Linked DNA regions of Drosophila melanogaster. The protein of the gene in region 2 purifies or fractionates together with the protein of the main gene of each other region. This does not show direct contact. Each region holds a gene or a part of one and is shown on either strand. Other genes may lie near its edges.

Region 1 (3,262 bases), on a different chromosome or scaffold from region 2:
TAGGCGAAATTGTTACAACGATACCTACCATTGGTAAGTATCTTATTAGCACCTTTAATGTATCTTGTCCAAATCTAATATCTAATGGTTGTCCCCCTAGGTTTCAATGTGGAGACTGTAGAATACAAGAATATTAGCTTTACAGTGTGGGATGTGGGTGGCCAAGACAAAATTCGTCCCCTGTGGAGGCACTACTTCCAGAATACACAAGTAAGTGTGATTTCAGCTTTTCCACAGATTCCAGAAAATTCTATATGATGTTAACAGCTTGTAATGATTATGCATTGTGATTATTCAAGTTTATTTTGTTTCAAGACGGGACTGACTATATTATCTTAGAGATCTATCTCCTACGATTCAAGCCAGGACAATTGGAATAAAGTTTTCATTTGAATCGTTACAGGGTCTTATCTTCGTCGTGGACAGCAATGACCGAGAGCGTATCGGTGAGGCGAGAGAGGAGTTGATGCGCATGCTGGCAGAGGACGAGCTGAGGGATGCAGTCTTACTAATCTTCGCAAACAAACAGGTAGGTCCAAGCAAAGGTTGTCGTTATCAGTAGCCAGTTGCTCGGTCCTTATATTGTCATACTAATATTGCACCTCGCTCTTTTCTGGGATCATTTTAGGATCTGCCAAATGCAATGAACGCGGCCGAAATCACCGACAAGCTCGGCTTGCACTCACTCAGAAACCGCAACTGGTACATCCAGGCGACGTGTGCAACTAGCGGTGATGGGCTGTACGAGGGACTCGACTGGCTGTCCAACCAATTGAAGAACGCTAATCGCTAATTAAACACTAAAATTAAAGCAACAATATGAATACAACTAACTCTGATTTCAAGCGAGCCGAAGCAGTTAACCAGCAACCAGAACCATAGAAAGAGCGGCTGAAGGACATCCAACATCCAGCGGTAAACGGTGGAAATCGACATCAGAAGGAATTTTCACAAAACAGCAGCAGCGGCACCAACACCAACAACAAGAGCAGCAGATCTTCGCATAACTTAAAGGGCTCCGCATGTCCGTATTTCCAAACAAGAAACTGAAATTGTTTATTGAATTGCAAAAACATAACCTTTCAAGCAGCATATAAAGAACGCTATAATATAATTTAAATTCGTATACATAATTATTGGATGTTTAAAAGCAAATCGAGTAAAAGAAAAGCCCAACCAATCACACAAGAAAGGAAACTATAGTATATGGTATAAAAATGTCTTTTTTAAGTTATTTTTGTCCTCTCCCTACCCCTCATCAAAATATATATTTCTTTTTAATTTTATAATATTAAAGTAATATTAATGAGAAAAAACTGTAATTGTAATTGCTCTTTAAAAATACAACAAATACCATTTTAATTTTTAACCCTTCTGTTTCTTGTTGTCGCTTGGTCACGCAAAATCCATTAAAAATCACGCATATATATAAGACCATATTAAAAAGGAAAGTACTACTTAAAAGGTAATTTGAAATAAAATTTAAATATTAATGAAAACTACTGCGCTGTTCGATTTTTGCACATGCGTTTCAAAAAGTCCGCGCAAAATCGTAACTGCCTATCGATACCCTGGTGCCATACACATCAGTTGCCTATCGAATTGTCTACACTACAATAATTTCGGAATTTAACGTTGAACAACACTCAGCGACCAATTGTCAGAAAAAATCGTCATTTTGTTTTATAAATTGGCAAAAGATTAAATAAAAGAAAGCACAGCATGTCCGCCAAGCAAAACCCAAAAAAGTTAAAGTGGGCGCTGGACTTTAACGGGAGGTAAGGATTGCTAGCCTGCGCGGTGACTCAAGTTCTTACCACTTTTGCTTTTTCCTGCAGCAAAAATGCTGATATTCCTTCGCCGCTGGGCTACAATCCATCTGCTTTGGTGAACCAGAGTGAAGTGGTGCGCGACCAGCGCCTGGTCATCAAGAAGTCGTGGGACCTTGCCCTGGGACCTCTTAAGAACGTGAGTAGCAGCCCTTTGGAAAGACCCGTGCTTAACCTTTGGATTCCCTCAGATTCCCATGAATCTATTCATCATGTACATGTCAGGAAACTCGATTTCCATTTTTCCCATCATGATGGTCGGCATGATGCTGATCCGGCCTATCAAGGCCATCTTCACCACCCAGGTGACTTCCAAAATGGCGGAGGGGGCCCAGGGAACTGGCCAGCGCATCGTCTACTTCCTGGGCAACCTAGCAAACGTGGCTTTGGCCCTCTACAAGTGCCAGAGCATGGGGCTCCTCCCCACCCACGCCTCCGATTGGTTGGCATTTGTCCAGCCTCAGACACGCCTGGAATATTACGGCGGAGGAATTTCGTTTGTCTAGTTTTACACATATAGATTCTCTTTATTTGATCATAGATAAATTGGTTTAAACTAAAATTGTGGTCTTATTCCGCCAGTCAGTCGTCTAGTATCTTCTTGGCCTCCTTTTTGATGTCATCCACTAGTTTCTCGCCGGGCGATCTGTTAAAGAAAATAGTAAAATAATTAAGATACAGAATGATAATATGATCTTATTTAGCATTGATTTCGTCATGGTTGCACCTGGCAACAAATTTTTATTCGGAAAAGCCATCATTCACCACAGTAGAAAGATATCATCACGACTTCGCACGCATTTTTTCAGCACTTTGTCCTATTTTCAGAATTTGTAAAACAAGCGCGTGGAAAGCTTAATATAAGATATCGAAAAAAAATCCAGGTTTAGTTGACAAGTTCGACTTATAAAATTTTTACAATTTTAATTACAAAGGCATTTGACAGAGTGTGGCTCGATGGACTTTTGTTTAAAATAATCAAGCTGTTGCCCCAAAACACACATAAGCTACTGAAGTCATACCTATATAACAGAGTGTTTGCAATAAGATGCGATACAAGCACTTCACGCGATTGCGCAATCGAAGCTGGAGTGCCGCAAGGCAGTGTACTGGGTCCAATCTTATACACCCTGTATACGGCGGATTTCCCCATAGACTACAATCTAACAACCTCCACGTTCGCTGATGATACCGCGATACTCAGTCGCTCGAAATGCCCAATAAAAGCCACGGCACTCCTATCCCGACACTTAACATCTGTAGAACGATGGCTTGCCGACTGGAGAATTTCAATAAATGTTCAAAAATGCAAGCAGGTTACCTTTACCTTAAACAAACAAACATGCCCACCACTGGTCTTGAATAACATATGCATTCCACAAGCCGACGAGGTAACATATCTGGGAGTTCATCTGGACAGGCGGCTCACTTGG
Region 2 (3,708 bases):
CCGGGTACTGGCAAAACACTGCTGGCCCGTGCCGTCGCCGGTGAAGCCAAAGTTCCTTTCTTCCATGCTGCCGGACCGGAGTTCGACGAGGTGCTCGTAGGCCAAGGAGCCAGACGAGTGCGTGATCTGTTCAGTAAGTAGATTTCAATTATCCAAAGTGCTCAACTAAACAAGAACATCATCTTGCAGAGGCAGCAAAGGCCCGTGCCCCTTGTGTTATCTTCATTGACGAAATCGACTCGGTGGGCGCCAAGCGAACCAACTCTGTGCTGCATCCTTACGCCAATCAGACCATCAATCAGCTGCTCTCCGAGATGGATGGCTTCCATCAGAACGCTGGCGTCATTGTTTTGGGAGCCACCAATCGTCGCGACGATTTGGATCAGGCTCTGCTGCGTCCCGGCCGATTTGATGTAGAAGTCATGGTGTCGACGCCCGATTTCACTGGACGTAAGGAGATATTGTCTCTGTATCTGACGAAGATTTTGCACGATGAAATAGACTTGGACATGCTGGCGCGCGGCACCTCTGGTTTTACTGGAGCGGATCTGGAAAACATGATTAACCAAGCGGCGTTAAGGTAAGGAATAACTTGTGTTGTATTATTCAATCACAATTTTGAAGAGCGGTACTAATAATTCTAACATTTTGGCAGAGCTGCCATCGATGGAGCCGAAACGGTCAGCATGAAGCATTTGGAAACGGCACGAGACAAAGTACTTATGGGACCCGAGCGCAAGGCTCGTCTACCGGACGAGGAGGCCAACACCATAACCGCTTACCACGAGGGCGGCCACGCGATTGTGGCCTTCTACACCAAGGAGTCGCATCCGCTGCACAAGGTGACCATCATGCCCCGCGGACCCTCCCTTGGACACACCGCCTACATACCGGAGAAGGAGCGTTACCATGTCACAAAGGCACAGCTGCTGGCCATGATGGACACCATGATGGGCGGTCGTGCTGCTGAGGAACTGGTCTTCGGCACGGACAAGATTACGTCGGGAGCCAGCAGTGATCTCAAGCAGGCAACCTCGATCGCGACGCATATGGTCAGGGACTGGGGCATGTCGGACAAGGTCGGTCTTCGCACCATCGAGGCGTCAAAGGGTCTGGGCACCGGTGACACCCTTGGTCCCAACACCATTGAAGCCGTGGACGCGGAGATCAAGCGCATCCTCAGCGACAGCTACGAGCGGGCGAAGGCTATCCTGCGAAAACACACCAGGGAGCACAAAGCGCTTGCGGAGGCGCTTCTCAAGTACGAGACTCTTGACGCCGACGACATCAAGGCAATACTGAATGAAAGCCAGACGTAGTTCCCCCATCGGTGTGGTTTGATGGTGTTCAAGGATCCAATTGGAAGGCCGGGTTGGTCTGCCACCGGACATTCAGCTGAACTGCTAAATATTTTTAGTTACAATATACATATATAAAAAACCGGAGAAAAAAACCAAGCAAGAGCGAGACGCAGACGGACAGTTAAGAAATAAAATGTTACACATATTCAGTTATGTTTTCCATCATTCACGTTAGAATTAAATATTAGTTTGAGTAATAAATTAATTTGAAGTGGAATCCACATATTGTTTGCGCGCCCATATCGATGTGACCAGACTACTGCAACCTATGTTAGAAACCATTTTCTAGAACTTAAGTTATAAATATATTTTCAATGTTAAAGACATAATTAACAAATATAGTTTTGATCACATTTTTTGTGGAATCCATTCCATGCTCATCCATTTTAGTATTTTTCATTGTATATTTGACGTTTGCGGTATATTTGAACAGCTGCGTCGCGGTCACACTTTCTAGCTGTCGAATTTCCAATTCATGTTTTATTTTTTGCCGAATAAATTGAGATAATATTCTGAGAAAATGTGCGACTACAAGGTCTCGGAGCGGGCGTACGCCAAGTTGATATTCCACGCGGCCAAGTATCCACACCAGGCGGTCAACGGACTCTTGCTGGCCGAGAAGACATCGAAGGGCTCCCAAGTGGAAATCGTGGATGCGATTCCGCTTTTCCACCAGTGCCTGTATGTCACCCCCATGGCGGAGGTGGCCCTCATGCTGGTAATTACCAATTGCCCTTCCTAAACTCACATCACGAGGGGCTCGGTGCATTTGTGTCCGGACAGCAATGTGGTGCGCCCCATAATGGAACTATTATGGCTTCAATTTGTATCTAGATCCTCGCACCCTGGCCAAACACTCCGCTATCCAAAAGATATATAACTATTCTAACTTATTGCGGCTGCATAGTTATCCAGTGTTGTGCTTAGAACAGAAAGGTTTATGTTCCAAGCGATCTTTATTTAGTAAAATGTACCTTGTACCCCACGATGGTATTTTAATATTAGCATATCAAATTCAAAAACTAGTGTCACACCACTTTTACCCTGTTAGAAGTTTATTACCCAAATTAAACTAGCAGTCTTAAAGCATTGAAGTTGTGAAGACTGAATTAAATTTAAAAGCCGATAAGGTTGTACCATTGTTTAAATTAAAACATTTTATAAAATAACGATAATAATACATTACCTTACACTTTCAGATCGATGCCCACGCCGAACGGGAAGGATTAGTAATCGCAGGCTACTACGCAGCACCGGAGAACTTCTACGACAACCAGGTCGACAAGACCCCAGCCGCCAAGATAGCTGACAAGATCCAGGAGAACTTCAAGAACGCCTGCTTTGTGGTGGTGGACAACAAACTGATGACGCTGCAGCACGACCGAGCCGCCATCCAGGTATTCAACTGTCCCGGAGACTCTGGAGCAAGGTGGTCAAAGGCCAAGTTTACGCTCTCACAGGCGTCCGATACATTGGAAGGCGTGTCGCTGCTGCTGAAGCGCGGAGCCATGCGGGATTTGGTTGACTTTGACAACCATCTAGATAATCCGGACAAAAACTGGACCAACGACTTCCTGAATCAGCCGCTCAACGATCTGCAGAAACTGTACTAGTCGTCCGTTTCAAACGTACGTTTTTTTTTTAGTCTAGCAAAATCGCATTCGAGGGAACATGCCGGAATTTCAACCTTGCAATTTAATTTATTGTAATTACATTTGGATTTCAGTAATCTTTAGAATAATGCATATAAGTTAAATAACATTCAACTAATTAATAAATAATCAATTCTTTCATCATGTTTTGAGTCAAATGTTGTCTGCAGTCCGAGTCCGTCTGTTGGTGCACCTATTGTAATATCCTTTTTAAGTCCGGTCCGGTCCGGTTCTGTTCTGTTTATTGTGTTGAGTAAACCTAAGCGCGTTACAATTATCGTTAATAAATACAGATGAATAATATGTATATAATTTTGCTTTTGGTTTGTCTGGCTTGTAAATTGAAATATTTTACAATAATATTGTAATATCGCGATTGCTGATTATACATAGGTATACATAATACGTACTTATGTGGATATATCGGAGATCGAAAGTATCGCAAAAACGTTTATTTATATAATTTCAGTGTATTGTATATTTTCATATTATCTGATCGAACGCATAACGAACTCTTTACACCGTACACTAAACGTATAGGGGACCGGGACTACGAATCACTGATCACGGATCTCTGATCACCAACGGGATGCCATCCTGAGCACCTTACTCGTATTTGATTTGCCAGTTATATGCTATATGCTTCTGTAGTTCTGTGTATAAGGAGTATGCTTTGGGCTTGTATATAATATCTT
Region 3 (6,625 bases), on a different chromosome or scaffold from region 2:
CAATTCCCTTTCAATAACCTGTGTGTAGAGATTATCAAGCGTTTCCTGCATTCGTTGTTTGAGTGTGGCATTCTGAATGGAAGCAATTTCCGTTGACTTTTGCACCTGCTGCGCTTTCAGTTCACGAATCTGGCGCGTCAGTTGATTGATCTTCTGCTGGACCTGTTGCTGCGTGTACTGCGGCTGCGGTTCGTCTATGAATTCCATGTTCTCGAACTCCTCGCGCTTGGCTAGCATTTGGCTATCGTAGAAGCCACTGGGAGCAGCAAGGTTGGAGCTTGATCCGGCGGCGCTGAGCTTAGGACTGCTGGCTTCATGCCCAAACATAGACTTGCTGAACACGTTCTGCTCCATTTTCACTACGCCCGCTCCAGTATTACTGCCACTAGCGCCAAAGAAGTCCGACATTCGTGAATCATCAGCCGAGAGTCGTGAGGATTCCTCCATCACCCGCCGCTGCATGGTGTTATTGCCCCGATCGGGCTCATCCTCGTCATCCGTGCTGGACACTTCCTCGCCGAAGATGTCGTGGACAGCAACTCCCATGTTCGGCGCCCGGTGTGAGGGAAAGTTGCTGGCTTCGTCATCATCGGACTCCACTTGGAGGTGCCGCTGGGAGCTCATTTCCATGATCGTCTTTTCGCTGGCATGCATGGTGCTTTCGTCCTGCAAATCGTCATCCGCATCGTTGTAGGGTTTGATGTCCGATTGCTCCAGTTCATCCATTGGCTTGTCCTCTTCGTTTATGATTTCATAGTCAACTCTGACAGCCTCGTTGTCAATGCGCAGCAGATGTTTCACTTCCTTCTCAATCTCGGGAGCTTCGACATTCTTTTTCTTCAGAGTTTTGCGGAATCGTCGTTTTCTCACATTCTTGCACGGCGGTGTGATGCCGTGCGGAAAGAGGTATTTTTTGTCCACCTTGTTGGGGTCCTTCTTTTTGTTCTTGTTGGGCGACTCCTTTTCCGTCTCGTCCTCCCGCTCCTCCTTGCAAATGAGTATTTGGCAGATGTCTGCCGACTTGTAGAAGCTCTTGTTGTCAATGGTCTTGTAGCTCTCGACGACGGTGGGCAAATCCACGAGTTTCGTGTACAGTATCTGATCATCTATTCGCACTTCACCGTACCTCAGATCCGGATCCAGTTGGATGGTCAGCCGGTCCTTAATGGTGCCAGCATTTATTGCCTCATGGACCGTGTCCGCCAGTTCCTGCGGAGAATCCGTCAATTTGCACGGCTTGTTGTGATGTTTGTTTGTGCTATGTATGGCTTACCTTCGGCACGCGCATGATAAACTGGCTCTCCAGCTCTACGCCATCATCCCGGGCCTTGTGCTCCGCTTGCTTAACCTTGTCGCTCTTCTTTTCAAACATTTCAATGCGATTTTTCCAGAAAAATACAACTTCTTTTGAAGACACTAAATGCTCATTAGAGATGGGAGTTAGATGGGGCACCGCTAGTGATGGCATTCACGTCACAGTTATCGCTGCGAGCACGACGAATATTTAAAATGGTTCACACTGCAGCCGCATCTGCAGAAATATAAGCCCTGTATACCGCAAAATGGCAAGGCATTTTATTTTTTAATCTTTTTACCAACAAATTTAATCATAAAGGTGAAGACCGAATGGGTTTGCCGTACGTTGAAAGGGGATGAGCCGCACTGCTTTGAATATCGGATGTGAGTCCGCTGAACTATCGATAAGGCAATCGTCAGCCAACCCTGCTCCAATTTCGTCTTCTCATCCCTTTTGCCATGACGGAAAACACGAATTGATGTGGATTTCTACTAATTTATAACATAAAAATACGTCAAAAGTTGAACAATCAGAGATCGAGCTAGTCGAAGGTCAGCAAGCAAGGCGGACGACATGCAGGAGAAGTGGTTACTGCCCGCACTTTCGCTGGCGCTCCTATTGGGCACCTGCTCGGCGCTCTACGAAGACCAGATCAAAAAGTTCGACTGGTGAGTGTGGTACGATATCTGACCATTGACCCGGCGCTAATACGGCGGATATGTGCGGCTTTTGCAGGCGAGGCGTCAATGTGGGAGCACTGAAGCAGTCTCGCGTCGACCTCAACCATTTTCAGCCGCGGATTCTGGTCACCACCTATGAGGGAGTGGTGGCCAGTCTGTGCGTAAAGACCGGCGAATTGGTGTGGCGGCAGGTGCTCGAGCAGAAGCCGCGCGGCGACGTCAAGCTGCTCCAGGTGAGCGGATTCGCCGATGACAGCAGCGACACGGCCGCCGCTCCGATGGGCAGCAACATGGGCTTCGACATGCTCACCGTTCAGGGACACGCTCCTGCTTTGGTGCGCGGCTGGAACACCAATATGGGTGCCCTTGAGTGGGAGTGGTCCATCATGCCCATGAACACGGAGCGGGCCCAGGACGCCATGTGGATCTACAGCAAATCCGTGCTATATCACGTGCTGCCTGCCTGGCGGAGCCACCTCGAGGTGACGGCGTATTTCGCCAGCTCGGGCCACAGCACTGGCAGCACCAGCAAGGTAATAGCTCCTTGGATCACCTCAGAGAGCTGCACCCTTAGCGGCACCTTCTACGTTTGTACGGACGGAAAGCAGTTGATTAGTTTGGATCTCGTTTCCAAAAGCGGTCAAGTAATCCGTACTTCGCTCGAGGCGGAGCCGAAGGGAAAAACTCAGGCCTTGACGGTGAGGAAAAAACTTTGCTATTGCTTTTATTGAAAGTGAAGTAATAGATTGTTGTAAGTGAAGTTATAATTCGTCCAAACATTTCTATAGGGTCTGAATGGTGTTGTGATTGTGGATGGGAAGCCAATTAGTGTCAACAAGGACCAATCGATCTGCGGTGATCTGCGAAGCTCCAGCTTCGCCGTGGGCAGCTTTAACTATCGCAAAGTCTTGGCCTATGCAGATCTGTCCTCTGGAGTACGTTTAAACTTATATTTACTGTTCTATTCTACTATTTCTATGTGAAAACTAATTGTTTCTTTCCCTGTGCGTATGAACAGATCCTCAGGATCAATGCTCTGTATTTGGATAACTGTGCACCGGCAGCGGAGTTGGAGCAGAGTCTGCCATTCCCCGAGCATTTTGGCACTCCGTCGCTGAGCAACTTCGACTGTAAGCAGAAGCGCAATGGCGAGGGCAAGAACTGTCTGTTTTTGTTTAGCAGCACCTCGGAGTCCATCGTGGCAGTGCAGCATGGACGCGTTCGTTGGTCGCGCGAGGAGTCGCTGGCAAATGTGATCGACTCGCAGTTTGTGGATCTACCGCTTGCCGATACTGAGGGCACATTGGAGAACGAGATGAAGGGCAAGGCCGGTGAGTGTACTTGACTTATGCACTACTTTAAGGTGAACTCATAAAATTTATTATTGAAAATTCATACCAAAAGGGGATTTCACAAGTTTTGAGAGTAAGTGAACGTTCACAGCAAACTAATCATGCAATATTGTTTGTTACATGTTTATCACTTTTAATTTTGTGTTTTTTTTTTTAATGTTTATTGAACGTACCACTAATCTAAAAACGAATGTTTACTAACAAATTCAAGCATGCTTCGCTAGTTTAAAGCTAAGTGTATTACTTTTACTTTTTTACTGTCCAATAATTAATTTCCAATGTAAACTAAAATATGAAATATCTTTGGTATATCGTTAATGTTTAAAGATCATATTAAATTGTTCTTTACTAATATTTATGTTTTCACCACGTAAACAGGAGACATTGCCAGTGCCTTTTTGCGTCGCATCACCACTCAAGCTGTTCAGATTCGGAGCTTGTTCCTTCATGTTATCGGACTGGGTCCTCCACCTACAGACACCCAGCGAGCCGGCTTGGTCAGAGACTCCTTTGGCCTCCACAAGATGCTGGTTTTACTGACGCGTGCTGGAAAGATTTTTGGCATTGACAATGTCTCTGGGAAACATCACTGGCAGCTGCATCTTCCCAATGTTATTGGATTCGCTAACGACGAACAGATGCGTCTGATTGTCCAGCGCTCGGCCAAACACTTTCCACTTCAGCCGTTGTGCACTATTTTGGGCAAGAATGCTGTAGGTCTGACTGACAAATCGCATAGTTCCCACGCTAATTCTAATCGTTTATAGGTCAGCGGCAATGGTGTGCTCTATCGTTTTAATCCTATTACCGGCAAAGTAGCCGAAGGTGGCCTTGTTCAGCTGGACTACAGAATTAAGCAGCTTTCGTTGCTGGGAGAAACGGAAAAGGACTTTCTGAAGGGCATTCTGTTACTGGATGCTTCGAATAAGGTACATGTTTATCCCGAACATGCGGCCCCACTGGTAAGATATAAAATTCTATGATATATCAATAGAGTTGAAAATCTTTACATGCACGTACAGGCTGATGGCATGTATCTGTACACCGCCGATTTGAAAACTGCAGAGCTGGCCGGCTACTTTGTTAAATATGCGGGCGGGGTAAGTAATGCAGCCTTTTAATATGAAAGCACTTAACTTATTAAACCATTTCCGTTAGCAACTGTCCAGCACGCACATCTGGAATGCTCGCCTGGGCGGCCACAATTCCGAGCAGCAGATTATCGGCGTTGCCGGCAAGAATCCCATCGAGCATGTCCACTCCCAGGGACGTGTGCTGGGCGATCGATCGGTGCTGTACAAGTACATCAACCCTAATCTAGTGGCTTTCGTCACACAGGCACCGGATTCCACACACAAATGTGAGTCTGCATGCGCTTCGTGTAATTAAGCATTCATTTAAATGGCACTTACTCCATAGCCGTGCTAAATTTGTATCTGGTTGATGTGGTCTCCGGCTCTGTGGTTTTCACCATGACGCATCGTAAGGTCCGTGCACCACTGAGCATTGTCCACTCCGAAAACTGGCTTGCCTACTCCTACTTCAACGAGAAATTGCGTCGCACAGAGATTAGTAAGTTACAACAGCGATAGCCATTGACAAGTACCTATATTTACTAAACTTTATTTACTTGCTACAGCCACAATCGAACTGTACGAGGGCAAGAGTCAGGCAAACAGCAGTGTTTGGAGTTCCTTGCAAGCTCCGCCAATGCCCCTCGTGGAGCGCCAGTCTTATATACTGCCCACAATAGTTGAGGCTCTGCGGGAAACTATCACGGAGCGCGGAATCACCAACAAGCATGTGCTTAGTGAGCATTAACGAAAGTAATTTGAACGCCAAATAGGATGCTAACCATTTGTCATTAATTCTAGTCGGCACTGCCAGTGGTTCCATTGTGGAAATGCCGTGGCATTTGCTGGATCCCCGACGTCCTATCGCATCCACGACTCAGGGACGTGAAGAAGGAGCCATCCCCTACATACCCGAGCTGCCTTTGCCAACAGAGAGCCACATAAATTACAACCAGACGGTTGCCCGTCTGCGTAATATTTACACCGCGCCCAGTGGCTTGGAGAGTACCTGTCTAGTCGTTGCTACGGGCTTAGGTAAGGGAGATTTATCAAACGCGATTTTGGTTAAAGCACTGTAAACCATTTTTATTTGACAGATTTGTTCGTTACGCGCGTGGCGCCATCAAAGACGTTCGACTTGCTGAAGGAGGACTTTGATTATATTCTCATTTCCATAGTGCTAGTCGCGCTCACATCAGGCTCGTTGATTGTTAAGCATTTAGCGTCGCGTAAATTGCTCAAGCAGGCGTGGAAATAGGCTTGGCATTATTATTAAATAATTGCTTTAAATATATATAAATTGTACTGCGACCAAATACCACAAGGGAGGATGGAATGATGATGAGAGAATGTAAATCGGCGAGATACTATTGATATATATAACAGAATTCTGATAGCTGCATTACATCCCACAATGCGAATAAAACCTTTTATCAACGCTAAGCCTAGGCAATTATTTATAACTAATTATATAGCGTTAAACATCAAATAACTATAATTAGCTGTTGAAAGGTTTTCATTGCATGTTCTGTTCCTTTGATTTGTGTTCGTTTAAATTTCCATTTGAAAATATCAGCATTGAAAGAGTGTTTAAAAAGTATAGTCAATAAAAGCATTTGTAAAGGTGGACAACGGTAAAGTAAATAAACAATTTTTTCATCAGAATTAACTGATTGTTGGGATTAATTAGGAGGTGGATTCAAAAAATTTTTGATAATTAAAACAAAAAATATAAATAATAAAAATACAATTAAATCAAAAATTCATAGCGTCTATTACCTGATTTATTTAGGACAATTTTTTTTAGAATTTCCTGTAAAGTATAAAAGGAATTATTATTATAATACTTATCTCAAAAATGAAGTAATTTTCACCGTCTTATAACATTGTAAGAAAGTTGTGGTTTTATAGCTTAATAAATTAAAAATACAAATAAAAAAATTTTTAAATGGGCGCCAAAAATCAGCTGAAAGCTTGTGTGTTTTCCAACACCGACCATCCAACTTTAACCGACTGAAACATATGTTTATTCTCTTCTTCTTCCGCAAAATTGAAAGGATGGCACTGCGTGTTTTTGGCTTAAATATAGTAAAAAATAACAGGAATCTGCTGCAAAATGCATGCAAATCCAGGGCACCGATGCCATGCTACATGGTTGGTACAATAGTCAAGTCAATAGACTTGACACTTTTCACTGTTCCCAATTGTGAGACCAAACGTTTG

Evidence for each region.
Region 1: the proteins of EMC8-9 (region 2) and EMC4 purify together in Drosophila melanogaster (affinity purification with mass spectrometry, with the first as the bait; one large-scale study listed by BioGRID). This does not show direct contact.
Region 3: the proteins of EMC8-9 (region 2) and EMC1 purify together in Drosophila melanogaster (affinity purification with mass spectrometry, with the first as the bait; one large-scale study listed by BioGRID). This does not show direct contact.

What each region holds. Positions count from the first base shown.
Region 1 is NT_037436.4:22,866,613-22,869,874, reverse strand, and holds EMC4 (ER membrane protein complex subunit 4), read left to right. Parts: upstream 1-1,631; 5' UTR 1,632-1,722; coding exon 1,723-1,778; intron 1,779-1,838; coding exon 1,839-1,968; intron 1,969-2,020; coding exon 2,021-2,335; 3' UTR 2,336-2,411; coding exon of another isoform or gene 2,412-2,475; 3' UTR 2,476-2,700; downstream 2,701-3,262. Other genes in the region: Arf1 (ADP ribosylation factor 1), read left to right, coding at 1-33, 101-210, 404-529, 629-793.
Region 2 is NT_033778.4:22,880,773-22,884,480, reverse strand, and holds EMC8-9 (ER membrane protein complex subunit 8/9), read left to right. Parts: upstream 1-1,790; 5' UTR 1,791-1,881; coding exon 1,882-2,079; intron 2,080-2,560; coding exon 2,561-2,974; 3' UTR 2,975-3,159; downstream 3,160-3,708. Other genes in the region: YME1L (YME1 like ATPase), read left to right, coding at 1-133, 190-580, 656-1,319. UniProt on the Drosophila melanogaster protein: Part of the endoplasmic reticulum membrane protein complex (EMC) that enables the energy-independent insertion into endoplasmic reticulum membranes of newly synthesized multi-pass membrane proteins like rhodopsins.
Region 3 is NT_033777.3:7,902,468-7,909,092, reverse strand, and holds EMC1 (ER membrane protein complex subunit 1), read left to right. Parts: upstream 1-1,729; 5' UTR 1,730-1,870; coding exon 1,871-1,965; intron 1,966-2,032; coding exon 2,033-2,675; intron 2,676-2,765; coding exon 2,766-2,912; intron 2,913-2,995; coding exon 2,996-3,308; intron 3,309-3,381; coding exon 3,382-3,402; intron 3,403-3,707; coding exon 3,708-4,042; intron 4,043-4,096; coding exon 4,097-4,291; intron 4,292-4,351; coding exon 4,352-4,429; intron 4,430-4,487; coding exon 4,488-4,689; intron 4,690-4,748; coding exon 4,749-4,901; intron 4,902-4,968; coding exon 4,969-5,139; intron 5,140-5,203; coding exon 5,204-5,437; intron 5,438-5,499; coding exon 5,500-5,660; 3' UTR 5,661-6,063; downstream 6,064-6,625. Other genes in the region: Taf7 (TBP-associated factor 7), read right to left, coding at 1-1,209, 1,274-1,468; mRpS9 (mitochondrial ribosomal protein S9), read left to right, coding at 6,461-6,556.